Coturnix japonica: one gene and its partners. The protein of the gene in region 4 interacts with the protein of the main gene of each other region in a biochemical or structural test. Links are inferred from orthologs where the notes say so. Each region holds a gene or a part of one and is shown on either strand. Other genes may lie near its edges. The genes, in order: claudin-4-like, CGN, CLDN1, TJP1, claudin-8-like, JAM2 and JAM3.

The links.
Region 1: the proteins of TJP1 (region 4) and claudin-4-like form a complex in vitro, tested with the Homo sapiens proteins (2 studies listed by BioGRID and IntAct, with this or other methods). The link is inferred for Coturnix japonica from reciprocal best matches to the Homo sapiens genes TJP1 and CLDN4.
Region 2: the proteins of TJP1 (region 4) and CGN form a complex in vitro, tested with the Homo sapiens proteins (2 studies listed by BioGRID and IntAct, with this or other methods). The link is inferred for Coturnix japonica from reciprocal best matches to the Homo sapiens genes TJP1 and CGN.
Region 3: the proteins of TJP1 (region 4) and CLDN1 form a complex in vitro, tested with the Homo sapiens proteins (2 studies listed by BioGRID and IntAct, with this or other methods). The link is inferred for Coturnix japonica from reciprocal best matches to the Homo sapiens genes TJP1 and CLDN1.
Region 5: the proteins of TJP1 (region 4) and claudin-8-like form a complex in vitro, tested with the Homo sapiens proteins (2 studies listed by BioGRID and IntAct, with this or other methods). The link is inferred for Coturnix japonica from reciprocal best matches to the Homo sapiens genes TJP1 and CLDN8.
Region 6: the proteins of TJP1 (region 4) and JAM2 form a complex in vitro, tested with the Homo sapiens proteins (2 studies listed by BioGRID and IntAct, with this or other methods). The link is inferred for Coturnix japonica from reciprocal best matches to the Homo sapiens genes TJP1 and JAM2.
Region 7: the proteins of TJP1 (region 4) and JAM3 form a complex in vitro, tested with the Homo sapiens proteins (2 studies listed by BioGRID and IntAct, with this or other methods). The link is inferred for Coturnix japonica from reciprocal best matches to the Homo sapiens genes TJP1 and JAM3.

The regions. Positions count from the first base shown.
Region 1 is NC_029534.1:441,889-444,905, reverse strand, and holds claudin-4-like, read right to left. Parts: upstream 1,681-3,017; 5' UTR 1,336-1,680; coding exon 541-1,335; 3' UTR 501-540; downstream 1-500. UniProt on the Homo sapiens protein: Can associate with other claudins to regulate tight junction structural and functional strand dynamics.
Region 2 is NC_029540.1:2,386,686-2,390,185, reverse strand, and holds part of CGN (cingulin), read right to left. Parts: intron 3,354-3,500; coding exon 3,254-3,353; intron 3,183-3,253; coding exon 2,970-3,182; intron 2,528-2,969; coding exon 2,379-2,527; intron 2,301-2,378; coding exon 2,159-2,300; intron 2,088-2,158; coding exon 1,887-2,087; intron 1,652-1,886; coding exon 1,466-1,651; intron 994-1,465; coding exon 736-993; intron 241-735; coding exon 70-240; intron 1-69. UniProt on the Homo sapiens protein: Probably plays a role in the formation and regulation of the tight junction (TJ) paracellular permeability barrier.
Region 3 is NC_029524.1:12,063,472-12,067,743, reverse strand, and holds the start of CLDN1 (claudin-1), read right to left. Parts: upstream 2,801-4,272; 5' UTR 2,699-2,800; coding exon 2,476-2,698; intron 1-2,475.
Region 4 is NC_029525.1:5,208,226-5,211,725, forward strand, and holds part of TJP1 (tight junction protein ZO-1), read right to left. Parts: intron 881-3,500; coding exon 748-880; intron 1-747. UniProt on the Homo sapiens protein: TJP1, TJP2, and TJP3 are closely related scaffolding proteins that link tight junction (TJ) transmembrane proteins such as claudins, junctional adhesion molecules, and occludin to the actin cytoskeleton.
Region 5 is NC_029516.1:93,921,434-93,925,379, forward strand, and holds claudin-8-like, read right to left. Parts: upstream 2,801-3,946; 5' UTR 2,497-2,800; coding exon 1,822-2,496; 3' UTR 397-1,821; downstream 1-396.
Region 6 is NC_029516.1:92,152,554-92,156,670, forward strand, and holds the start of JAM2 (junctional adhesion molecule B), read left to right. Parts: upstream 1-1,317; 5' UTR 1,318-1,555; coding exon 1,556-1,610; intron 1,611-4,117. UniProt on the Homo sapiens protein: Junctional adhesion protein that mediates heterotypic cell-cell interactions with its cognate receptor JAM3 to regulate different cellular processes. Plays a role in homing and mobilization of hematopoietic stem and progenitor cells within the bone marrow.
Region 7 is NC_029539.1:2,091,540-2,095,534, reverse strand, and holds the start of JAM3 (junctional adhesion molecule C), read right to left. Parts: upstream 2,801-3,995; 5' UTR 2,720-2,800; coding exon 2,674-2,719; intron 1-2,673. UniProt on the Homo sapiens protein: Junctional adhesion protein that mediates heterotypic cell-cell interactions with its cognate receptor JAM2 to regulate different cellular processes. Plays a role in homing and mobilization of hematopoietic stem and progenitor cells within the bone marrow.

The DNA of each region.
Region 1 (3,017 bases), on a different chromosome or scaffold from region 4:
CCAGCCCAGCCGCTGCCTTCCCACTCCCAGGATAATGATACCCGCGCCCCGGCGAGCTGCCGAGAGAAATCCTAAATGCGTACAGCCAGGCGAGATCGCCGAAAGTAGGTCAGAGGAAGAACTGGGGGCACGGAGGGGGGAGAGCATCAAACGTCCCTCGAGATCGCACTGCGTGCCACGGAGACACGGCGTCCCCTGGGACAGACTCGAGGGGCATCTCCCGGGGACTCCCCCCATCCTCCGCGGCGGCGTTTGGTGGAGTCGGAGCCGCACGGAGCCGCGTGTCACCGGTGGGACAACGCCCGGCGCATCCAGAGTCCCGGCCCAGAACCCCCCGGCCCCAACGAGGACACGCCGCGAGTGCCCCGAGCTGTCGGGCGGGCAGCCAGGACGGCAGCGCGCTGTTCCCATCCCAGCAGGATTAAAGAACCAGCTCCAATCCCTGTGAACAAAGGCGGCTCTGTCCGCACCCCCCCCCTCGCTCCATCCCCTCCGCAGCTCCCCGGCCCCAGACCCGCTCCCCGCGGGGCATCCCCGGCCCTACACGTAGTTACTGGCCGGCAGCGAGCGCGCCGCGCTGTACTTGGCGGAGTAGGGCTTGTCTCCGCGCGGCGGGCAGGAGCAGCACAGCATGGCCCCCCCCAGCAGCAGCAGCGCCGAGGCCGCCCAGCCCACGTACAGCGACGAGCCCAGCTCCCTCTTCTGGGAGTCGGCCACCAGCGGGTCGTAGAAGTCCCGAATGATGGCGTTGGCCGACCAGCAGATGGGGATGAGGATGAGGACGCCGGCGACGATGAAGGTGATGCCGGAGAGGATCATCACCTTGGCTTTGGCCGTCTCGTCCTCCACGCAGGTGGTGCATTTGCCGCCGGCGATGGCGAGCAGCGTGCCCAGCACGGCCAGCACGATGGCCACCACCAGCAGCGCGCGGGCGGCCTGCAGGTCCTGCGGCAGGGCCAGCATGGAGTCGTACACCCGGCACTGCATCTGCCCCGTGCTCTGCACCACGCAGTTCATCCACAGCCCTTCCCAGATGATCTGAGCCACCACAATGTTGTTGCCCACGAAGGCCGTCTCACGCCACATGGGCAGCGCGCAGCACAGGATGGACGCCAGCCAGCCGATGACGGACAGGGCGATGCCCAGCACCTGCAGCCCCATGGAGGCCATCGCTCCCTCCACGCAGTGCCGCCCGCCGGGACCATGCCGGGCGTTATATGCCCTCGCTGAGGGAGGAGCTCCGCCGTCCCGGCACCGGACGGAGGGGAAGAACCAGTTTCCCAGGATTCCTCCGCTGGCGTTTCTCCCCACGGCCATGGGGCCATGGCAGCCCATCGCTGCTCCCACGGGCCGTGCAGGGATGGGATGAGGCCACCCAGGAGCAGCATCGCGGCCACACGCTGCCCGCAGGCACGAGACGCCTGGATTGAGCCCAGCTCAGGGTGCTGGGGGACAGCGGTGCCATCCGGGATGGGAATTGCTCCAGCATCGCTCCCAGCACCTCCTCCATGACCTGCATGGATGCCTCCGTGCTTCTCTACCTGTTTCCTCCCCATAGCTCCTGCCCTTGCCTCCATGGGCCCATGCCAGCCCCGTGCTGGGCTCCATGCCGGCAGGGCACAAGCACCTCTTGTTTGTTCCCTGGCACGGTACGAGTGCTTCCCATCCCTCCATTCGGCCTCGGGCAGGAGGCACCTCCCCACTGAGCCTCACAAACTGGTTGGAGCTGCCATGGAACAGAGACAGCACTGCTCAGAGTGGGCAGGGGGAGCCCCCAGCCCAGCAGCCCCTCACACATTCACGCCTCCCTCAGTAAACCCCCCAGGATGCACATAGAGCAGCACAGAGCCAGACGGAGCAAAAGGGCAGACACTGCACCACTTCCCCCCCAGCTTAATCTCTGGGAATGATAGCAGGGCCCGGGGTTATCTCGGTTTCCCAAGCACGCAGACGCGGGTGGATAAGGTATCAGGGAAACCCTGTGGGGTCAGAAGGGCCAGCCCCCACCAGGCACTGCATCCTCACACCTGCTGGTAAAACATGACAGCACCTTGCTGATATGATTAATTGCTAATTAATTGCTAATTGTTCATTGTGATGGGCTCTGGAGCTGCCTCTGAGCACACCAAGTGTCTCTGGGCACAGAGGAGGCTCCTGCTCCAACACAGCCCATGGGCCTGGGGTGGCTGCAGCTCCACGATCCATGCATGGTCCATGCTACAAGGATGACACCAGTGTCCAGCCAGGCCAGACAATGGGGACACTCAGGTCTTGCTGCAGCCCTCCCTGCTGCCTGTCTGGGGCAGACACCATCTGCCAAGGTGCTCCCTCAATCCATTCATCCACACCCGTGGAGCACCCACATTGCTGGCATACCAGCGTGCCCACCATGGAGCCAAAGTGCATTCAGGGCTCCCTGTAATCAGAGGGGTGGTGGCTGGGACCTATTTGCCCCACAGCATCCCCTGCCTGGGGCAGCCCCATGGGGAGGCAGCACCAGGGCTGACCCTGCCCCAGGCTGGATGTGGTTTGGGCTCACAGCCGGCTGCGCCAACCACACTGTCATTTGGGGTTGCAGCGGGCGTGTGCACACGTGTGTACAGCTCCATAGGAAAAGCCCAGCCCTGTGTAGGCCGCATCCCTGCAGGGCTCGGGGCCGTGCCTGGGTCTGGGGACAAACAGCAAGGTGGGAGCAAGGCACGGCCATGCACTGTGCAGCAATGTCAGAGCCACAGCAGGTGCCAGCATGGCTGTTTGACAGCCAGTGACCATAACTAAAGCCAAAATGTGACACATCCTCCAAGCGGTGCCTGACATGGAGAAGCAGCCGTCGTGCCCTTCCCATGACCCCCAGGCAGCCCGTGTCCCAGCACTGCCACAGACACAGGGCTCGGCAGGCAGCAGTGCAGTGACAGCAGCATCGCACGGAGCTGAAGGATTCCACCCAGCTGTGCACAGCAGGAGCCCCTCCACACCAAAACGGGGGGCTCACCCCACCCCAAGGCCCTTATCACAGT
Region 2 (3,500 bases), on a different chromosome or scaffold from region 4:
GAGACACAGTGTGGGGACAGCAGCCTCAGGGTCACCTGGGCCACCTGTGGCCAGCAGTCCCTGCCATACCTCATCCTGCAGCCGTCCCAGGCTGAACTGCATCTTCTCCACCTCGGCACTGCGGTCCTTGGCTTGTTTTTGGGAATCAGTGATCTCCTTGCGGGATTTCTCCTTGCATTCCTCCAGCTGAGCCTTGAGAGCAGCCAGTGAACGGTTGGACTCCTCCGTCATTTGCTCAAGCTGTGGGAGAGCACTGGGATCAGAGCTGGGAAGGGGTGCGAGGGGTTTGGAAGACATTGCTTGTCCGTGGCACTGGCAGAAGCCCGTGACATGGGAGCTGGAAGGCACTGGGACGCTGTAGGTGCCCCAGAGCAAAGGACAATGTGACCCCTGATGCAGATCCATGAGGACAGCATGGATTTAGGGAGTGTGAGCACAAACAGGGACATCCCGACGTAACAGGGAAGGATCTGTACAATGAGATAAGCACATCCAAAGAGTGGGGCAGAGCCCTGCAGTCCTGCACCCCTGCCCTACCAGGGCCAAAGCACCTCAGAGACCAGCGAGACATGGGATACCCCACCTGGAGGGGATCCATAAGGACCACCGCCCTCTAAGCCCTCCCCATGGGATGGAGCTGTGGGTTATGAGAAGGACGAGATCTGTGAGGACCACAGCCCTCCACCCACACCCCACAGAGGGGCGATGGGGCAGTGGGGTGCAGGCGCTCCCCACCTCTCTGTTCAGTTTCTCAGTGCTGCGGTCCAGCAGCCGCTTCTGCTCCTCCAGCTCGCTCTTGGCGCGCTTCAGCTGCTCCTTCTGCCTCTGCTCGTCCTGGAGGGATGCGCTCAGCTCCCGCTGCTCCTGTGTCAGCCGCGCCATTCCCCGCTGTGCCTCATCCAGACGCGTCTCCAGGAACCTCTGCGCCCGCAGCAGCTCCTGCTCACGGTCCGTGGCTTCACCCAATGACTCCTCTGCGAGTCTGCGCTCTGCCTGGGAGGGAGGGAGAATGGCTCCAGGGGACGGCGCTCTCCTCTACGATTCCCACTGTCCCCAGTGTCCCCCCAGTGCCATGTGCTTCCCCTGTGACCTCATGTCCCCAAATGTCCCACAGCACTGTCAAAATAACCCTCAGTGCCTCTACACCCCCCACTGTCTCCATGTCCCCCAGTATGTACAAATGCCCCCCTGGCACCACCTGCATCCCCCTATGGCCTATCATGCCTCTAGGTGTCTCCCTGTGTCCCTAAGATCCCCAGTATTCCCCACATGTCCCCATGTCCCCAGTGTCCTACTAGTGTCACCTGCATTGCTTCATGTCCCCAAACATCCCCAGATATCCTGAAGCCCCCCAGCATCTCCCAGTGTCCCTCTGGTGCCACCTCCATTCTCCCAAGTCCCCACGTTTCCAATAGGACCTCATCTCACCCCGTGTCCTTCAGCCTGGACCCACAGCCGCAATTACCTCCAATTTGGTGACCTTCTCACGGAGCCGTGCCTGGGAGCCCTCCCAGTTTTCCCCCATGCGCTCGTAATCCTTCAACTGCACCTCCATGCCCTGCACCTTCCTCTGCAGCTCCTCGTGCTGCTCCTGCAGCTTCTGCAGTGCTGCCTCCGCTGTCTTCTTCTCACCCTCCAGGGAAACCTTTGCCTGCAATGCAGCCATGCAACAGGAAGGGCCTCATGGCCACCAGCCCAGCCCAGGAAATGTGGTGTGAAATTGGGATCCCATTGCAGCGGTGTGGTGAGATTGCCCCTTGGCTTGTGGCTGGGCAGCACTGAGCCCTTCCCTCCCCTTCCCATTTCAATCTCATTCAGTCCCCATCCTCTTCACTCCAACGCCATCGCCATCCCCATCCATACACCATCCCCATCCCATCTCTCACCCTGACAGCCTCATCCCTCTCCTCCCGCAGCCGCTCCATGTCACGGAGGCACTGCTCCATGGCTCCGCTGTGGCTCTGGGCCTCATCCTGCACAGCGCTGCGCAGCACCTGCAGCTCCTCTTCCCGCTTCCGCACCACCTCCTCCCGCTGCTCCTTCTCCTCCATCAGCTCCTGCTGTGCTTTCTGTGCCCGGCGCAGCTCCTGGGGACGGGATGGGCTCAGGGACCCTGACAGGGCACACACAGTACCCAGATCCCCCCTTTGCTACGCACCATGCGCAGTGCTTCCATCTCTTCGGGGTCAGCTGCGCTGCTCCGTGCCCTCTCCACCTCCTCCCGTGCGGCCGCAAAGCGCTCCCGCAGCTCCCGCAGCTCCTCCTCAAACTCCTCCCGTTCCATCTTCACCTGCAGCAGTCTGAGAATGGGAGTATGAGATGGAGGGGGTCAGTAACCCCCCACAGCCCTGAGCACACCCCGATTTGCCGGGACTCACTCCTGCTTGGCAGCGCGCAGCTCGTCCTTGTTCCGCTGGAACATCTCCCTCCAATGCCCCGTCTCCTCGGCGCTCTCCTCCAGTTCACGCTGAAGGTTCCGCACCACCGCACCGATTTTCTGCTTCTCTGACTCCAGGTCAGCCCGGTTCTGGGGAACAAAAGGTGGATGGCTCCAAGTGGGCATCAATGGGGGATGCTGAGACCCTGCCCAGGGGTGCACTGCCCAGGGATGCTCCAAGGGTTCTCTGGGGATGCTCAGACCCTGCCCAGGGATGTTCCACCAGGGGATCTCCAGGGATACTCTCAAGGATGCTCAGGCTCTGCCCAGGGATTCTCTGCCCTGGGGATGCTCAGATTGTGCCCAGGAATGCTCTGAGCATGCTGAGGATCTGCCCCATTTAACACCACATAGAGCAGCTCCCCAGGAAGCGACCCAAGGATGCAGTGGGCCCCACAGCACCAGGCAGCACTGATAAGCTCCAGGCTTCCCCAGGGATGGAGCACAGAGGGGTGGGGGCAGGACACAGAACCTCGTCATGGTGTGCAGATGGAGGATGTGAGGACACAGGTCCCAAACACAAAGCCCTCACCTGCGAGATGTCCTCCACGCTGCGCCGGAGCTGCTCCATGTCACTGTGGCACTGCAGCCGCACACGCTCCAGCTCACGGTCGTGGTTGGCCACCTCCTCCTTCAGAGCCCCTTTCAGCGCTGTCAGCTCCCGTTCCCGCAGCCTCAGATGCTCCTCCAATCGCTGCCGGGAGCTCAGGGCCTCCTCCAGCTCCTCCTGGGCCTCCTCCAGCTCCTGGGACACGGAGGTGGCTGTGGTTGGTGGCACAGTGAAGGATGGTTGTGGAGCAGTGCATGTGGACATACCTTGCACAAAGCGCTGGTGTCCATGGCTGTCCCCATCTCTGTGCGCATCGCTTTCAGCTGCTCCTCTGCCCTCATCTGTGCCGCCTTCGCCTCCTCGAGCCTGCAGGGACAGCAGCCCTGAGACCCCACAGCACACAGCAGAGCCCTGAGACTCCACAGCACACAGCAGAGCCCTGAGATTCCATAGCACACAGCAGAGCCCTGAGATTCCATAGCACACAGCAGAGCCCTGAGATCCCACAGCACA
Region 3 (4,272 bases), on a different chromosome or scaffold from region 4:
AACACAGCCTTTCTCTATTGCCTGAATGGGAGCATGTCCCAGCCTGACATAAGCCCTCAGCTGAATGCAGTGTGGGAGGAGTGCCAGCATGGTGCACTTCAGCAGCATAACCACATGGGAAGCTGAAGGCCCCTCAGTCGGCTAACAGAACCTGGCAAGGTTCTGCCAACCCCAGCAACCATAGGTATACGTAGAGAAATGGGAAGAGCTCCCAAGTAGCCACAAACTTGCTAGCAAAACTTCTCACCACTCCCACAAGAATGAATTACGGCAGGTGATGAGAGTCAATCCTTTCTATGTGGGCAAAGTAATTGCAGGATCAGAGCCTCTCCCATCAGCGCACGAGGCTGAGACACCTGGTTCAGGGCACATGCACGATGCCCTGGCAGGAAAACAAGAGCCAGGATAAATTCTGCAGCCCACATTGCTGTATCACCACATAAATGAACACGGGAAAAGAGCCCTGCTGCACAGCTGCACCTGTCCCAGGGTGAGGCTGCCAAATCGGGTAAGAGCTGGCAATCACATCTCCAGCCAAAACAACATAACAGATCACTGCCCAAAGACCTCGAGGGGAGAACAGACAGGAAAGCAGAAAAAGGCACAATGTCCTTTCAAGTGAGAGGGGCACAACCTGAGAAAGCTGGGGTGCCAAAAGCAAAGGACATTTAAAGCCTGTTGACTTCCCCAAGCAAGAGAGCGTGCCCCGGTATTCCCATATTTCTTATCCTTCTGGGAATCTTCAGGCCCCTGTAGAGCCAGGAGCTCAGTAAGGGGATAAAGGACTGTTAACGACTCAGGCTCAGCCTCTGGCACCTCACTCTCCCCCGAAGCCTCGGAAGAGCCTCTATTGTCCGCAGAACAAAGGTGAAGGGAGCAGCCGCTATTGAGCGCTCAGCGCTGAACAGGGCAGGTTTGGAGGAGGCAGGCAGGGCTCGGGGCTGATTCTGCAGGCAGCCTCATTTACAGCAAAATGGGCTGCAGCCAAAGCCCCCCAGGCAAGTTTTACCTTTCGCAACCGATTCAAGGGGCAGCCGGAGACTGTTCAGCCCCACCGGCATCTCCGCCCCCCCGCCCCGAGAAGCGAGATAAAAGGCTTCAAGCTGAACTTACATCTGAGTTATCACTGCACCCAGTCTGCATCGCCTGCTTAGCCCACCCAGCCCTGATTAACCTGCACCTCAATGGGGCTGAATAGATCCACCGCGTTCCCGAAGGGCGTAATTTGCACCTGTGGGGCCCACAGAGCCGAGGGAACTGTTGGTGTTTGGTAGCAGCGAAGGTGGGGCCCGGGGTGGGCAGCACTACAGCATGGCATGGGGGAGGCAGTACGGGAACTTAGGGGCACTCCTAATGGGCTCACTGTGATGTTACATGAAACGACGTGTTTGTTTCTTTGGGAAAGAGAAGGCGACCAAGGTGGTAGTTAAGTGTTTTATTCATTAGGGAGGGAGAAGGATGAAGATGTTCCAAGGACAAATCGATCTCACTGGTCCCTGCTATGGGGTGGGGGGAAGAGTTAGAAGGAAAGGAATATTTTTTAAAGCCCCCTTAGATGTTAGCGTAAAGTCAGGTCCAACCAACTGCCTCAATACTCAGTCCTCCAGAAACAGCCGAGACAGGGACAGCTCAACGTAACAACCACCATCGAAAGGGGTGCGCTGTGTTCCTGCGCAGCCAGCTCAGGATGGGACAAAGGATCTGGCGTTACCTGAACGGACTACTTTGCCTAGAAGCCTCAAGTAGCGCTGCCTGGGCTGGGAGCCAGCTCACCTGCCAGCTCTCTGCCTAAAACCCCCGCAGGAGGAGCGGTGATTTTCCTAGGTAACATTTCCCAGAGAACAAAGTTATCCCGTCGAAGTGCAACAAGAAGAACAGAACAGTCAAACACAAAAGTATCAGTGCCTGCAAAGCCAAATTCTGCAGTGTTTTCCACAACTTTGCCGCTGAGGCATAGCCCAACAAAAACAGTCCCTGCCCATTCCAACCACTTCAAGTTCTCTCGCAGTCGTGGCGCGTCTCCGGACGCACGAGAGGGACCCGATATTCCGTCCCCGAGTGCTGCTATAGGGACAGGCAAAGGGCTGCGGGTCCCTACCCCCTGCCGGATCCTGCCGCGCTGAGGACACGCACCTAAGCCCCGACGGGACGAACAACGAAGCAAAGGGGACCCAGCAGGACGGGTCACCCTGAGCCCTACACCGTAACCTCGTAAGGGACCAGTAGTAAGGCGGAAAACTTCAGCAAGATTAAATCCTAACAATCCAAAGGGCAGCAGCCCCAACTCATTACATCGTCGGCACCTCATCAGCGATGCAGAGAGCACCCGACGACAGTGGCACACCCGCTCCCAGCCCTTCAGCCTGAGCTCCAACAAAACCGACCAGCATAAAGTGGGAAAGACTCGATGGGACAGGCACCCTCAGCTCCCATATGCTCCCCCCCCCGCCGCCCCCCAGAACCACCCCGACTTACTCTCCAGCTTGAGCAGCGAGTCGTACACCTTGCACTGGATCTGCCCCGTGCTCTGCATGGCGCACGACATCCACAGCCCCTCGTAGAGTGCCTGGGCCGTCACGATGTTGTCCCCCGCGTACGATGCCATCTTCCACTGGGGCATAGCGGTGCTGATGATGATGCCCATCCAGCCAAGGAAGGCCAGTACGAAACCCAGGAGCTGCAAGCCACCGCTGGCCATGGCTGCGCGGGGCTGCTCCGCACCTGCGGAGGTCGGCTACGATGAAAAACGCGCAAATACAACCAGCACCGTACAGCGCACTGGCACCTGCGCAGCGCTGCGCGTAACTTTTAAAGCCGCTCAAAGTGCGCCTCCTAGCGGCCGCACCCCCCCCCCCACCGCCCCGCCCAGCGGGGGTTTCTGCGCTGCTCCCACCCGGTGGGTGATACTTCGCACCTCTGGGGGTGCTCCGCCTGTGCCCATCGGGTGGGATTTGTGGGGGGTTTCAATGCTTGCACTCATGTGAAACATCTTCCCCAAGCTCCCCCAGCACCACCGCTGCGGGGCGAGGGCACAGGGCATCTCCCACCGGGCACACAGCTGTGGGAAAAAAAACAGTAGAGAAGCAATAGAAACTATTATTTTCTTTCTGATTTTAAAGAGCTTTCAAATGCTGCCGGGACGCTCAACCAAAGTTTCGATTCCACCGTTTCAAGAAGGACCGAGCGCTGTACCTCTTTGTTAAATGAGAAATGTACCTTTCTGAACGCTTCAGTGAGCGCAGTGATTTTAAAAGGTTTATTGAGCAAGTGGATTACAGACCAGGAAGGAGTGCCTTCTTTCTCAAGCGTGTATTTGTCTATTGACTATAGTTTCCCTTTCTCCTGCATGAACGTTTGGGTATTGACGGTTCCGGTCTCAATGAGGGAACACTGTGTCCCTCCCAGGGCCGGGAGGGGAGGGGGGGGAAGCATGGTGGGGCTGGGTGGTGCTGCCCGACGGTCGGCTTGGGCCTGCCGTAATTCCAGCTCTGGGATAAATAGGTGGTAACTACCGATAAAGGCTTTGCTGGAGGTGGGGATGGAGCTGTATTGTTTTGACACAGTGGTTTTAGTGCGTTCTGATGACTGAGGGGATTTTGCTGGAGCTGCTTCCTGAGGTTGCACACAGACAAACAAGCAAGCTCGTGATTACCTGACCGGTACTGCGCAACGCCGGGAGAGGGGGGAAGGGAAGGGGGGGCAAAGGGGAGAAAAGCAACTGCAACCCGACCACAGAGGGCAGGGATAAAGCTGTGCTGCCTCGCTCCGAGCTCTCGCAGCTGCCCAGCTCACCGGTGTGATGAAATCTATCCTCACTCGGCAGCAAACCTATCCAGTCGTGGCGTTTTAAGCTGGGAAAGCAATTAGGTAGCTGTGAATCTGCAGCTGAAGGAATGGTGTTTTTCTGGGTCTTCGTGGAGTCCAGTTTTATAGGTTTGGGAGGGAAGAAGAGGAAGGCAGAAAAGTTTTCTTTGGCAATGCAGAGATAATAAAGTAGATTCATCACACTGCGCGTTCATCAAAGGTTCTCTTAGAGGGAGCAGAGAGAACAGGGTGGTGCTGCCCTTCAGCTGATCCCTGGGAGAAGCAGTCCCTGATGAAGAGACACAGCAGAAACCCACACTCACCCGGGGAGAGCAGGGCTAGGAGTGTCTAGACATTGATGTCTGGGTAGTGCTATCAGTCTGATAATGTCCACCTGCAATGGAGTGCACAGAGTTCCTGGGTGCTTCAGAGCACTGAACCGACTCACCCTTTCCTGACCATCCCACA
Region 4 (3,500 bases):
TCTTTTCTGACCAGTATAAATGGTGGGAAATCTATCCCCACCTAATCAATCCACACTCATTCACATTTTCTCTCTTTTGTTATTTGAACGTAAATACTTCTGTAATTAAAAGTTGTACATGTCTCTATTGCAAATTTTTTCTCTAAGTTCTATTAAATCTCTAAAGGACAAGCTATACAAGTTTCACAAAACCATGATCACTATAAATTTTCTTAAACCAAAGAAAAAACGTATGTAAGTGTAACCAAAGAGATGCAAACAAGGATGTTAAGTAGTCTGAGAACACACACAATTTGTATGCATTTATTTTTCTCTGGTACCCTACTACAGCTGCATATAGTAAAAAAGCTTTTGAAAATTGGCTAAATATATATATTTTTTAATGTGGATACAACTTCCACATTGTAAATATGAAAATAGATTTTGAAAACACAATTTATTTTTCACATTTACTCAACTTCCAGTTCATTCCTGCATCTTGTTATGCATGAGGCAATATCAAAACCTGAAATCAAGATACAAGACTAATGTCTACTCAAGAACAAAAATGAGAGTATGTATCAGTAATTACATAAGCAATATCATTTTCATTACATTTGCCAACACGGAACCCTAACTCTTAACATTAAATACAACTCCTTTTTCAATTCTAACAATGACATAAACCAAATGCAAGAGGAATGACGCCTTTATCAGCAAAATTCTTGTAACTTCAGATAGAATAAATGTAAAAGACAAAGTACTTACAGTGAATTCACAGAAATCAATGCTATCAAGGCTCTTGCTTCTGTGTATTCTCCCTTTTATTCTTCTTAAAGAAGGCTTTCCCTGACTTACACTACAGGTAGCACCATTGGGATTTTCGGAAGATGGAGTTACCCTGTCAAATAAAAAAGAGATCCATATCAGACAAAGAATATATCGCTTTATATATATCACATTTCTAATATACAAGCAAAAAATGTGCAAGGGTGATATGACAGGAGTCTCAATCCAACCTTTAGTTTTCAAACAGGCAGCATCAAAATAAGACAACAAAAGGTGAGGAAACACAGCTCCCACGAAATCCACCACTGCTTGCAGATTGAGTCATCTGTACATTTTCTGCACTGATGTAAGAAGCATCAAAAAAGTACAGAGAAACATATTTTACTTTTGAAAAACTAGAAGGGATATTTTTCACTACTAATTCAATTTAAAAATTGTGTTCTGTGATACACGTTGTTGTCTGTTGGTTAAATCAAAGGGACCCTGGCAGAATTTGGCTTTTGACCTTTTCCAGTTTAAGCACTAACGGCACTTCAGATGTTTTAGCGAAGAATAATGATGAGCAATAACTAAATGAAAAGGACCTTTTACAGCTGTAGAGGTAATTAAAACTATAGTTTTTAAGGTTTTCATCACATTGGTCATCTAAATATAGTTCTAAGAGGAGCTTGCAATTGAAGTATTTTGAGTAAGCTCCCCAGATGCCAAATAGATTGTTGAAAGTTGTTAATGAGTAAATGTAAATGGGGTTAACAATTAACTAAATATAATAAGTTTCGAAAGGTCAATATTTTAAATGCAAAATAGTCTCTAGTCAGTGTGACACCGCATTAGGAAAGCGAGTACTGTGCTCCAGCAAATACGAGCATCCAAAAAACGAAGTCTTATTTAGCAGATTTACATTTCTTCTTTTTCGCAACTGCAGGCGTAAGAGGCCACCAAAACATGTGTGCACACATCTATCCATACACATCTTTTTTGCATTGCCCAAGGCTGTGGACAACAACAGTTCAGTGATTTTCTCTGTAACCGTTAAGATTCCTATATATCTTAGGGTTTCTTTTTTTAAACTTGGAATTAATGGCTTCAGTACGTACATAAGTGCTTTGACAAATAAAGAGGAAAGGTGTGTGCCTTTACAGGTACACGCCATCACAAAGAGACACTGCATAGAGTGAGCCATGCTAATGATCGACACACAAAATTTCAAGTACAAAATATCCAGGCTGAATATACTTGTGTAGGTAGGGGAACCCTGGGATCTACACTGTTTAACGGCAGGAATAAAATGTCCCCATGCACATTTGTAAGAGGCTGGAGAAACAAAAGTCACAGCAATAAAATTTGTAAATTAAAAAAAAAAAAAAAAAAAGAGAGAGAGAGAGATTCTAAAATTTCTCATTCAATTTACAAAGACCTTCATTTTTTGTTGAATTGCTGTGATTTCCAAATTAATATTTTCCCCCTTGGATTAATTTACCCCTGAACTTTCAACTGCAAGAAAAGAAAACATTCAGAATTGTTACATAACTAATATTCAGAAACGCATAAACTTCCAGCTTAGACAACACCAGATTTTTTTGGTGAAGTTATTTATGGGGTAAGCTCAGAGAAAGATGCTGCGCTGCTACTGTAATGGAATTGCACACAGAAACCAAATCAACACCACAGATTTCCTGCTGAAATGTCTTAAAGAATCAGCAAAACAAAGTCCCAAGGAAAGACAGCTGCTCTGTCACAATGCCTGTTCACAGACAAAAAGTGACATTTACGCTGATCATACATCTTCCTTGTATGAATGTCTTATGGACACGTTACAGGACTCTGCAAACACTTCTGATAAAGTGAATCCAAAAGTATTTAATGCAACCACACACTGACCATGGAGCCCACAAGGAGATCCACTGCTTTCACCACAGGTAAGTCTGGATTTATTCTCACCCCAGAAAATCTATGAGGGTTGCCTATTTCAATAATTGTCACCTGGGTCATTAAGTCCTCATGTTTACCTCCAGCCAATTAAATGCTTAATAACTTCATAATATTTTCTTCCTCACATTTAACAGAAATATTTTTGAACAACTGTAAGCTGCACCAGGCTTTTCTGAATTTTCCTTTCTATTTCAAACCACTTAGTCCGGGGCCTTTAGATGTATAGTTATTTAAATTCAAAGTCTTTTAATGTTTTCTCATACTAAGAAGCCTTAAAATATATGTAATAAAATAAAGTGAAAGAAAGCCTATAAAAATAACAGACTAATCAAAGTCACACAGCTTTTGAAGAAGTAAAACTAGTGATGCATTTTGAAGTCTTTCCCACTTGTCAGATCCATTCTTCTAAGGTGCTTGGGAAAAAGAAAAAAAAAACAGAAGAGAGGAGCAGAGCTTGCTGCCCCTGGAATCCACCCATCATTCCATTCTGATGGAGAACAACTGACAGTGATCATTTCCCAGTTCCAAATCCTGCTTTAAAATTCACACTTAACTTTCAAAGAATAATTTAGTGGGAAGGAATATCACGATTCAAAGACACGGTTTTTCTTAAATAACATTATTTACTTGTGTGCTTTTACAAGTAAATAAATATTTAACCAACTAAAGAAAAATCAAATCAGTATAATCAGTGGAAATCTTGAAGCTCAGTGTTGTAAAGATATCCACAGGTTCCTGTGAAACTTTGGGGCAAGAGTAAAGAAATGAAATGCCAGCTCCTGTGGTGCCTCTGATACTCC
Region 5 (3,946 bases), on a different chromosome or scaffold from region 4:
TGGTTTTCTAAGTGAGATCTTGCACCCACTTTTTAGAGGGTTGAACTCAACAAGTACTTTATTGCAGACACTGTTATAAATCCTGGTGTTCTAGCTACAAGTTCATGTAGGATCCTCCAATTTCTTTTCCCCCCAGAAAGAGATTGGATGTGAGTATAAATATTAGTGAAGGAATATGAAGGAAAAATAAGCACATACTGCTATATTACAAAAAGTTCATGATCATTACACATATACACATTTAGAAATAATTTGCTTAAAAATAAGGAGAAAAAAATAAAGTTACATACACAAGTAGACAGGCTCATTAAGGCAGAAAAAGATCTCTAAGTCTCCCAGTCCAACCATCAGCCCACCCCCACCATGCCCACTGCCCACGTCCCTCAGTGCCACATCCACACCTCCCTGGACAGCCCGTGCCACTGCCTCACTGCTCTTGCTGAGAAGAAATGCTTCCTAATATCCAACTTGAACTTTCCCTGAATATCTTAATATTGATCTTATAAACACTACAAAGAGACAGTTTTAGAGTAGTGTGAAGATTATTTTTTCTAGCTTGCTCAGAGTTGCATGTTATGAAGAATTTGATTCTGATTTTTCAAGTAGTAATAGTCTAAGGAATTTGCCACAGAATTACAGATCACATCATAAACTTTCTACAAAATATTTAAAACAGTCAATCACACTTGAGAGCAAAAATGTTGTTCTCCATTAAACACCACAAATTGAATTGTGTCATCAGTTAAGTCAAAGGCAAAATGCCATTAGTTTCCACAGGCCCGAGGTTACAAAATTCTATTAAAAATATTATCACTATTGATTAATTTTGGTCTTTTCTTACATTAATTTTTATGGAGCTACATTTATTTTTCTGTAGACTTAGTTTCATTACATTGTTCTTTATTATGGGTACATGATCTTGTTATTAAAAATATTGTTGAGCTTGTTTTGGTGTTAGCTGTTAGAAAATATTATCATTGTTTATGCTCTTTTGCCTATAAACCATGCTGGTATGAGTGGATCTCAGCAAAAATATGGGCCTGACTGATCAAAAGATCATTTTTCACAGGCATATATTTCATAGCATCCTGTGGCAGCTAGCCAACACAGTCCAACCTATGCAATACTACAAAATGTTCTGAGTTACAAGGAGTTGGGAAAACTGCCACTTCTAAAAAGAAGGATGTGAATGAGTTCGACCTTTATGGATTACAAAAGAAATAGTAACTTTCACCAAAATGATGGTATTTAGGATGAATATAGAGCTGTATTTGTTCTCTGAAATAAGGGGTATTTTTCATGTATTTCAGCTTACCTTCCTTTGATGAATAAATTCCTCACAAAACTCTCCAGCAAACCCACAGTAAATCAATCCATTAGTGAACGCTTTTCTTTTAAACCATTGTTATCTTGTCCTTATTCACTGTTATCCCTCTTTCCCAGGAAAGAAAAAAAAAAAAAAAGGAATTATAAGCTCAGCACCCCTTTTCTTTGCAGTAGGCCTGTATTTCATATCGCCATGGAACTTTAAGCCCTTCATTTCTATTTTACACATAAAATGCAACCCAAAGCAGATCCACGCAACCCCAAAGCTATTCCAAGTTGCTATAAGATAGCATTAAACATTCATCTTCCCATTTGGTACAACTGTCCATGCTGCAGCGTTACTCCAGAAGAGCCCACTGAGGGTTGTATGCAGTGACCACAGCAGCAGTTAGAACAGGAGGAAAGGCAACTTTCATTCAAATCCATCCAGACAGATTGAACAGTTTTAAAAAATGCCTAAAGAAAAGATAAGAATGAGGAAAAGGCTGGAGGCATCTAGACGTACTGACTCTTGGAGTAGGCACTTTCGGTGGTCCCGTGCAAGTGTTGGTTGAGTGGCAGCTGGTGAGGAGGCACAGAGTAGTTGTAGCTCCTGGTTTTCTCACAACAGCGGCAAAAGCAGCAGAATATGGCTCCAGCAGCCATAAGGCAGAAAGCAGCCACCCAGCCCAGATAGAGGGCCTCACCAAGCTCCCTTTTCTGTGCCACATTGACCACAGGGTTGTAGAAGTCCTTGATGATGGTGTTGGCAACCCAGCAGATTGGAACGAGTGCAGTGGTACCTGAGAGGATGAAGAGGAGCCCAGCTGCCAAGAGGATATAGCCCTTGGTCGGCCAACCGCTCTGCCGGCACCGCGTGCACTTCATTCCAACAGTGGCAACTAGGAAAGCCAGGAAGGAGAGCACCGACCCAGCACACATCAATCCCCTGGATGCCTGCAGGTCTGGAGAGAGGGCCAGCACGGAGTCGTAGACCTTGCACTGCATCCTGATGTTGGCTTGCCTGATGCAGTGCATCCACAGGCCTTCCCAAATGGTCTCAAACACAATGATGTTGTTCTCGATGAAGGCAGACACCCTCCACTGAGGCATGCCCGTGACTGCAAATGTCCCAATCATGCCGAGGCCACCGAGGAGCAGCCCGGCAATCTGCAATGCACCATTGATCATGTTGCCTCTGCAAGGTGTGCACCGCTCGGCAGGTTCCACGAGATGGCAAAAAAAAAGAAAGAAAAAAAAGAAAGAAAGAAACTGTCCAAAAGTAGCTTTCGTTTGTGTGAAGAAAGTTCCAGAGTCAGGCTGCGCAGCCTTAAATCAGCTCGAATCTGGCACGCGCTACCAGGGACTTGGCTGAGCCTTTGTCATCTTTATAATTCCCAGGCCACCACTGACTCAAAGAGGCAAACCGAGCAATCAAGTGGAACAGCTTTCCAAAGCAAGAGTCAAGACGAGACGGGGTGTGTGTAAACCGGCAGGAGCCACTTAGTATAAATGCACCTTCTGGGATAGGTACATTTGCATTGAAGTTGATTATTTGTAAGTTTAAAAAAAAAAAAAAAAAAAAAAAAGCCCTACCCTTAACCCTAGGTTTTGTCTATAAATTTGTCAGAGCCAAGGAAATAGACTCTGCAGGCAGAGGCTGTGTATGCTGGTGCACTCAATGAAGCTGTTGCCTTGAATGTACAGTACTTTGCTTCTGACCCCAGCTCAGCTCAGGTTCCCACAGCAGCAGTGGCAGTGGGCCAGGAAGAAAGCAGAGTTGCCTGCCCCACCACTGGGCCCCTGCCTGCAAAGCGCTCTTGTTCAGAAGCCTGGAGAGCACTGCAGCAAGAGCACCAGGGAACAAAGGAAATCAAAGGGACAAAGGGACTCTGAGATTGAAATGGATATCTCCTCAGAGGATAGTCAGAGCTTCAAAACACCACTGAAGAGTTAGAAAGGAACAATAAGAGTCCTCAGACCTGCTAATACCTGTATACACATATAGCTTTATACTTATACTCTACAGAGTATGTGGGGATAGGCAAATTTCTGGAGATGTCCACGTGCTTCAATCATTGCACGGAGTTGTGATTTATACAATACAGCGTTTTCCAGTGTAAAGGTGACCCCAGCATTTATCATAGCACCATAGTATCATTAAGGCTGGAAAAGACCTCTAAGATCACCCAGTCCAACCATCAGCCCACCCCCACCATGCCCACTGCCCATGTCCCTCAGTGCCACATCCACACGGCTCTTGGACACTCGCAGGGACGGTGACTGCACCATCTCCCTGGGCAGCCTGTGCCACTGCAGCACTGCTCTTGCTGAGAAGAAACTCTTCCTCATATCCAGACTGAATTATCCCACGATGCAGTTCAGTGCATTGAAAATTATTGGCTCTCCAGATAAAAAGTCATCAGAGGTACCAGCATGCAAACAAACACATTAGAAAGACATCATTAAAATAATAGTGTAAATTAAGTATAATTATGGATAGCAGGTGAGCTGTACATCGAAGATATCTTCAGTGACCTATGGACAATACTGGGAAGTTCAGGTGAAGGACATCGTGAAAGTCAAAACTATTAAAACTGCAAACAAAAATCTAGAAAATAATCAGACACAACAGTGGATT
Region 6 (4,117 bases), on a different chromosome or scaffold from region 4:
TCCACAAGTAGGCTTGAGGCATGTCAGGCTTATGCCTGAATGGGATGCAGCTGGGAAGCGTGGCTTTAAACTTCTTTTCATTTTTTGATGGCAGTGAGAAGATGACTATTCATTAGCTCTTCCATTCATGTCTTCTAGTTTGGTATTTGTAAACTGTGATATATGAGTGATTACAAAGGAATTAAATCTTCCACTTTTAACCATTAACCAGACAGCCAGTTCTCATGGAGCGGTACTTTTCCCCCTGCATTACATGCTTGTAAGTGGAATCATAGGCATCTTCCTCTCTTACCTATCACTGACATGATTATTTGCATTGATTATTGCATATGTACGTGTGTGTATGTATATACATATATACATACATAAATGTGGTGTTGTTTTTTGTTTTTTTGGGTTTTTTTAGCAGAAATATTGCTTGTATTCTACATACATTTTTGCACTTGATTGATAGACTCAGATTTTGATGTGAAGAGTTTCATCCTAATCCTCTGGTTGCTACTAAAAGAGCTGCCGGATACTTCATTTATAAATAATCTTTCCCCATTTTGCTACAGTCTAAAAATGCAGCCAGTGTTGCTGCACTGATCATCAGAAATACTTGTAAAACTTTTCCTGTTACAGAACCATATCACATCACTAGTGTATTTTAAGATGTCATTAGAAACGACTCGGATGCAGAATTGGTTGTGATGAGTTGTTTTCCCCGATTCCTAAATTTAAAAGGCCACTGCACCTCCTGCATATTTAATGAACAACTTTACAAGCCAAGTATAAAGAGCCAAGACAGGAGGCTGCAGAGGTGACCGTGCTGCCCTGCTGTGCTGGCGTACACACGCACACAGCATCCTGCCCTGCACGGGTGTGATGGATGGCTGTGACTGAGCTTTGTGTCTGAAGGTGCTCCCTGCTGTCACCTTGCTCCCTTTTTGCCCAGAGCATCCACCTGCACTTCTATTTCACCATTCACACTGTGACACCCGTTTTCATCCCGCTCCTCTCCATCCTGGATGGGTGTGAGAGCAGAAGCGAACACAAGCAGTGACGGTGAGCTTCTCGAGGGAGAAGTTTAAGCTTTTTGTAATCGAAGCCAAAGTTTATTCTGCCGCTGCCAACGCCCGTGAACTCACACGTAAACACGAACATACGGTCACGGAGAGCTGACAAGTGGGCACGGCTACGAGCCCTGAAGGACGACTCGGGGCCCGGGGTCGCCCCGTACAGCCCGGGGACGCGAAGGACCTGACAGCCGCAAACTTCGGCGCCCACCGCCCGCTCCCCACCTGCTGCCCCGGCGCCGCCTGGATCTGCCCTATCGGCCGGCACCGCCCCTTCGGGTCCCGCTCCGCAGGGGAGCTCCGGGGCGAGCGCAGAGCCCCGCAGCCCTGCGGGGGCCGCCTGAGGCGAGGCCGGGCCGGGCCGCCCCCTCTCTCCCCTACGCTCCGTTCCGTTCCATTCCGCGCCGGCCGGGCCGCGCCCCACGCCCCGCCGCAGCCGGCGTCGCCCCGCGGTGATTATCCGCTGCCGCCCGCGGGAAGCGGCCGCTGCCGGGAAGATGGCGAGCCGCCGCCTCCGCCTGCTGCTCCTCGGGTACTTGGGGGTCCTCTACTGTAAGTTGCCGCGCCTCTTCCCTGGGAGCACGTTCGGTGCCGCGTCTGTCTGTGTGCACGTGTGGGTGTGCGTATACAGTTGTCCCTGCCTCAGGGAGCGCTCCCGCAGCCCCCGGGCCGCCTGCTGTGTTCGGGCTACGCGGGGCGCGGAGGCGGGTGGCGGCCAGGAGCTGCCCCGCGGGCAGTAGAGGGCGCCGCGGGGGGAGCCCGGCTGGGGCGCGGGTCCCTGCATCGCCCTGGGGGGCAGCGACCGCGGGGCTGGCGCGGATGTTGAGTCGCTCCAGCCTTAAGGCGAGCTGACCGCTCTGTGCGGCGCTGCGAGTGTTAGGATGCGGGCTGCGCCGCGTGCCCTACGGGGAAGGGATCCTAAGAGATGAACGGGCAAGTGGCAGAAACGTGCTTTCTGCGGGTAGCGCTGCTTTGGAGCAGACTGATGTTACCAGAGCGTTTACGGTCCCGTTTAACTCGTTGAAAAACCAGGCGGAGAGATGTGAAGTTGGCAAAAGCTGACCCACCCAGAAAGCACATGGAAATAAGTGAAAACAGAGCACGGGGCCGAGTAGCTGCAGAGAAGCAGTGAATGAATATGTGGTGTTCATAGTGCCAGTCATCTGAAGAGGCTGGTGCTTTTGGATCACATCTGACTTTGCTCTTGTGTGCTCTGTGTCTCATTGCTGCCTTTGGGAAAGAGACAATATGTGGAAAGGATGCCCTGGAAAAAGAATTGTATAGGTCATGTTATCTTGCTAACAAAGTGAGAACCTGAGACCTGCCTGTTCCAGCTGCTCAGTAGGGCACTCTTGCATTTAACTTTAATTCCTGCTCATCTAACATAAATTTGTGTGTGGAAGACCTTTTTTAGAGGAGGGCAGACTCAAAGTGACTCTGCTAGTTCTTTGGCTTGGTGGTTGGTTTTCTTTTCCTCTGTCTTCACCAAACTGTTTTCAGTTTTGCCCCCTCCTCCCCAAGAAGGCCCTGGAGTGTGTACAGGGCAATAGAGCTGTGAGGGGTCTGGAGCACAAGTCTGATGGGAAGCAGCTGAGGGAGGGTGGGTTTGTTCAATCTAGAGAAGAGGAGGCTCAGAGGAGAGCTCATCGCTCTCTACAACCACCTGAAAGGATGTTGTGGTGAGGTGGGAGTTGGCCTCTTTTCCCAGATAACAGTGATAGGATGGGAGGGAATGGCCTCAAGTTGTACCTTGAGAGGTTCAGGTTGGAATATTAGGAAAAGATTGTTCTCAGAAGGAGTGGTGAGGTGCAGGCACTGTCTGTGGAGATGTTTAAGAGCTGTGTGGATGTGGCACTGAGGGATGTGGGCGTGGTGACAGTTGGACTTAATGATCTTTTCCATACGTTAATGATTGTTAATGTTCTGAGAGGACAGACCTTCAAGTGATGTACACTATGCTTGTTCTCTGGTTTGGTAGCAGTTTTCCTTTGTTTTTACCTGTACAAGACCTTATGAAGAACCTGGGTTGTTAGGTGGGTGGCTTCCTCTATCACACAGTGAATTTAAGACAAAAAAGGGTTCTTTGATCTTTTTTCTTTATTTGTTGTTAGTTTCGTGGGCATATCTAATTAAATAAGGCTACTGTGTTTTATTTATTTAGTGAGTAAGTGAGTGGGTTTAGCATTTTCAGGCTGCTCATTGTTGGGTTTTGTGTGTTGATACTGCTGGCTGTGGTCAGCATGGAAATGCCACAGGGTGGGTTGAAGGCAGTTCATTAGGTCTGCTGACTGAATTGTTGGCATACACTTATTTTTCTCTCTTCCTGTCACTGTTCCCAAAAAAAAAAATGCCAGGTGGAGAGAACTCAGTTTACCAGCAGTGTGCTAAGATGGAGTTTTTTTGCATGAAGAAAGTGGCTGCAGGTGGGTGTGCAAATGCTGATTGTTTCTGTGAGCTGGAGGAAATCCAGACAGAGAAAGCTGTCGGGAGTCTGCTGCTGTTCCTGGAGCTCCAGTGTGCTCATGCTGACAATAAGTCTGAGTAATGCTGGCTTTCGTGTCAGATGTATGTGTTGAGTTGTTTCTAGTGTGGGTCCGGATCCCAACATGCTGCAGAGTTAGCGGGGAATGGGCAAAAGCTAATGAGGAAAAGAAAGAATTAGATTAATGCTAGAAGAGCATGAGGGTTATGCTGTAGTGCAACTGTACAGAACTTGCTTGGTAATTCAGCTGCATGAGTTAAGAGCTGGATAATCTGGCCATAGGAAGTCAGCATAGCCAAGAACAGTGCTGAGGTCTTTTCAGTGAGAGCCTAGTAAGAAATGCTAATGTTCCAAAGAAGGAGTGGTTTCTCCGAGTTAAAGCCTCTCTCATCTTTAATTTAGGAGAAAGTAAGGGGAGTTAGAGACCGTCAGTCATACAGTCTCAATCTGTGTGAGCTCCATAAAATGATGCTGCCTGTGAATGTTTTCAGAGGTGAGCAGGCTAAGATTTGTGAGCTCTGTTGGTGTGAGTTAGGAAACGTACAGAAGTTGTTGCTATTAATAGTCATGGCAGCAG
Region 7 (3,995 bases), on a different chromosome or scaffold from region 4:
AGGTGAGGTCTGGCAGCACAACCTGTGTTCCTGGTGCAAACCCTCAGTGTGGGGATGGATGAGTGAAAAACAACCCAGCAGGCGGGGAGACCCGGAATTCAACTCTTAAAGGAAAATAAACACATCAGTGAGGAAGCAGAGTTCACTACCAGGGCAGCATCTCCATCCTCTGCTCCTTCTCCCTACAAAAACCCCACATTTTACTCTCTGGATCTACTTGTGCCTCAATAACCAACTAATTCCTGACAGCATTCCAAGCAAAAAGGAATGCGCTGGTGTCACGTTCTTTGTCAACAGCTGTAAAGCTGATGGGATCCAACAGCTCTGCGGTGGTGGTGCCTGAATAGGAACACCAAGCCCTCCCCAGGAATTCTTTGGAAGACATTATTAAGCATCTGATTTTGGCACTGCTCTCGGAGCTGATGGTCCTGCTTTCTCACTGCCTGCTGAAAGGAAAGCATGGCTGCAAATAGCTCCTATCAGCAAGGAACAACATCGGTGCTGCAGCAGGGCCAGCAGCGTTTGCACCAAGCAATTCCTGGTGCTGACAGCTGAGTGGGAACAGTTGTTGGTGGCTGGGACAGATGGACTTCATAGCTTACACAAAGGGAAGTAAGGACTTCTGTTTGCTAGGTTGAGAAATGGCCTTTGCACAATTCAAACCTCAGAGATAAATCAAAGGGAGATTGGAGCACGCTGAGTTTGGCACCGCAACGTGCCAAGGACCTGCCTCCCCATTGAGGACGTGCTTTTATTTTCATCAGGAAATACTTGTGAATTTTGGGAAGGGCTGCACAGCTCTGCCCTCAGTCTGACACGTGAAAGCTTCCAAATCCAAATGCTGGAAGGTTGCAGCAGAGGCATCGAGGCAGGACGCACCATAGATGTTGCTTACAAGCTCTGCTTTCCACCACTGATGCTGATAATTTCCGCTAGCATAATTACGGCCATGGCATTTCCCTCATATGCAGAATCTTTAGATGCTTTTAGTGCCTGGAGCGGGGTACACACTGCACTCTCCATGCTTCACTGCCTTCTGTGCTGTGGCAATGTTTTGAGGCCATGACCAAGAGTTGGGTCCATTCTGGATAGAGAAGCACAGAGGCCATCCCTGCTCTATAGTCTAAGAAGCACATTGAGCTCCTAAAGCAGTTTTGCAGCATCTCACTGGCCTTGTTGCCTTCCTTCTCTGCCAACCAGTGGGCTGGCATCAAACACAACCCTATGGGACCACACAGCAGCAACCCAGTGCACCTTTAATGTAGGATTCCTCCCGGTTCACTAATATGACTATAGTGCAACCAGGTGTGAAAGCAGCGGGGTCTGCCTGCATTCAGCAACTCCTGCCTGTCCAAAGAAGCACCCAAGTAGCTGCAGCTCATTTCCAGGCTGCTGTCTTTTAGGCCGCATTCAACAGGATGCTCAAGCACTGCTCCAGCACAGAGGGAGGAGAGGAAATGCCCCTTGAGCCCAACTGCAGGAGAAGCTGAGTGAAATCTGCTGTTTTTCCTCACTCAAATGGAACACCCAGATCCAAAGTTGGGACCTGGATGACTGTGATGCTCCGGGTACTCACAGTTCAGCCTCAAACCACAGCAAAGCAAACAGAGCCCCCCAGTTGCACTCCTCATCCCAATGGGTGCTGCAGTGGAACGGCTGTATCTTCTCACCCCTTAATTTTGGAGGGAACAGAGCCCAAATCTTAACTTAATTCAAAGCCCCAACGTCTGAAAACCATTAGGGACTGAAGAATTCCTTTGTCCTTAGATAAACTGGCTGAAATATTTCAATGCACTCCAGTCTCGAGCTGACCCAACGCAGTTATTTGTGTGCACAGCCCCGTGGATCTCAGTGGCTGAACTTTCCAAGTCAGTTGCTGATTGGCACTCTGACCTCCCTCCATCCCTTCTCCTTCTGTCGCCTGCCTGGAAGGGGGGAGTGGGGGGTGGGGGGCAATGGGAGCCCACCGGCTGCTGTCCCCCCCTCTTCATCCCCCCGCTATTAATAGCCAGACAACAAATGAGCCCGAATTCATTCCTGAGCGGAATTAGCAAATGTTTTTGCAATTAAAAACTGCAAACATTCATGCGGGCCCCCGGAACAATAGGAGCCTGTGCCTCGGCTTGAATAGGGACCAGTGTCCGCCCTGCCTGCCTGCCGAGGCTGCACATTCCTGGCACCCTCAGCCCTGGACCCGCACCTCGCTGAGCTGCTTCCCCCCCCATCTCATCCCATCCCACAGCTCAGCGCCCTTTGGGGTCCTGTTTGGGGTAGAGGCAGCGCATCCTTCCCATCACCGCTCACCCCGGGATGGGACGGCGGCAGAGCATCCTCACTTCGCCGGGACCCCGATGAAAGTAACACATCCCTCCTGTTCCCCACGATCAGAGCAGCACATCCCCTTTCCTCTCCGGGTTATGGGCAGCGTATCCCCCTCTGTCCCCGGCACCAGCGCACCGCGTTCCCAGCCGGGACGGCGATCAGGGCCGTCTCTGCTCGGGATGGCGATCAGAGCAGCGCATCCCTTCTTTCCCCGAGCTCGGAGCGGCGCATCCCCGTTCCCGACCCATCTCCGCGGCACCGCATCCCTTTAACCCCCCCTCTGCGCATCCCCCCCAGACCCCAAGGACCCATCGGGCATCTCCGGGCCGATCTCCATTGCCCGGCACTCACCGAACAGGGGCAGCAGCAAGAGAAGCGCCGGCCGCCGCAGCGCCATGATGGGGTGTGCGGAGCTGAGCCCTGCGCTGAGCCTGCGCACTGCCCCGACGGGGGGAGGATGATGAAGGGGGGCGGCCCGGGGGCGGGGGTGCCGCTGATGTTGCTGCGGTAACCGGGCGGGGAGCTGCGAGGATGGAGCCTGGCACGGAGGGGCTGCGGATGGGGCGGCCCCCGGGGTGGGGATGGGTTCGGTTATGGGCAGTGCTGGGCGGTGGGGGGAGGTTTGAGTGCGTGGAGGGCTGTTGGGGGGGGGTGTGCCCTGCTAAAGCTGACTCGTGATGTGCAATGAGCGGCGGTGCGAACTTTTGGACGAGTTAAAGCGAGGGAGAAACGCAAACAGACAGAGCTGCATCTCGTGCTGTGCAGAGTGAGAGCACCCCGAGTCTCTGTACAGTCCCCAAAAGCATCTCAGAGCCTTTTCCATTAGTTAACGAGAAGCAAGTCCCTGCTCCATTTGATCCCCTGCAAGACCAAGGATAAGGGGATGTGGCTCTGAGCCTGATGGGTGTCCCATTGCATGGAGCAGAACCAGATGGACTTTAAGGTCTCTTCCACCCCAGATCCTTCTGTGATTTGAAGTCAGGTTGGATGGGTGCCGGCTCGTGCGTCAGTGCGCTGTGATGGGGATGTAATTAAGATGCTGTTGAAAATCAAGCAGCTGGAATGAAAGCCAAGCTCTTCTCTGTACCACGAGCTCGGCAGAGCGGGTTGAAATTAAGGGATGTAAAAACGTATTTAACTTGATAACGTGGTGGATCTAACTCTCAGTGCTAATGAGGAGACTTAAAGGGCTGATCTGAGCCTGGTGAAATTAATATGAAGGCACTCAGTCCTAATGGCCAGATGGGACACTTCAGTGATGATGCGGGGGATGGACTCGCTCAATAAGACTTGATGGCTTACAGCCCAACAGCACCAATATTTGGGCCGTGTCCCCATTAGCAAAGAGTCATTTTAACCTGTTTCCTTTGGACTGAAGGGATAGAGAGATAAAATCCAACAGCAATTAAACATCACTGAGCCACCAAGTTCCTTCCCGACACCAAGCAACCACCTGGGCAGGGAAAGCAGCAAAATGGATGTGAACTCAGAGGACAAGAGTGGGGGATGAGATCTGGAATATCACCTCACTTCTATGCCCACCCCTGTGTGCTGCCCCACGGCTGTGTCAGGGCACAGCAGAGCCATTGGAGATGTGAAAAGGAGTCACGATCAATATTATACGATATACTGTGCCCATCAAGCCAGGATGGCAAAGTGCTGCAGTGTACAAC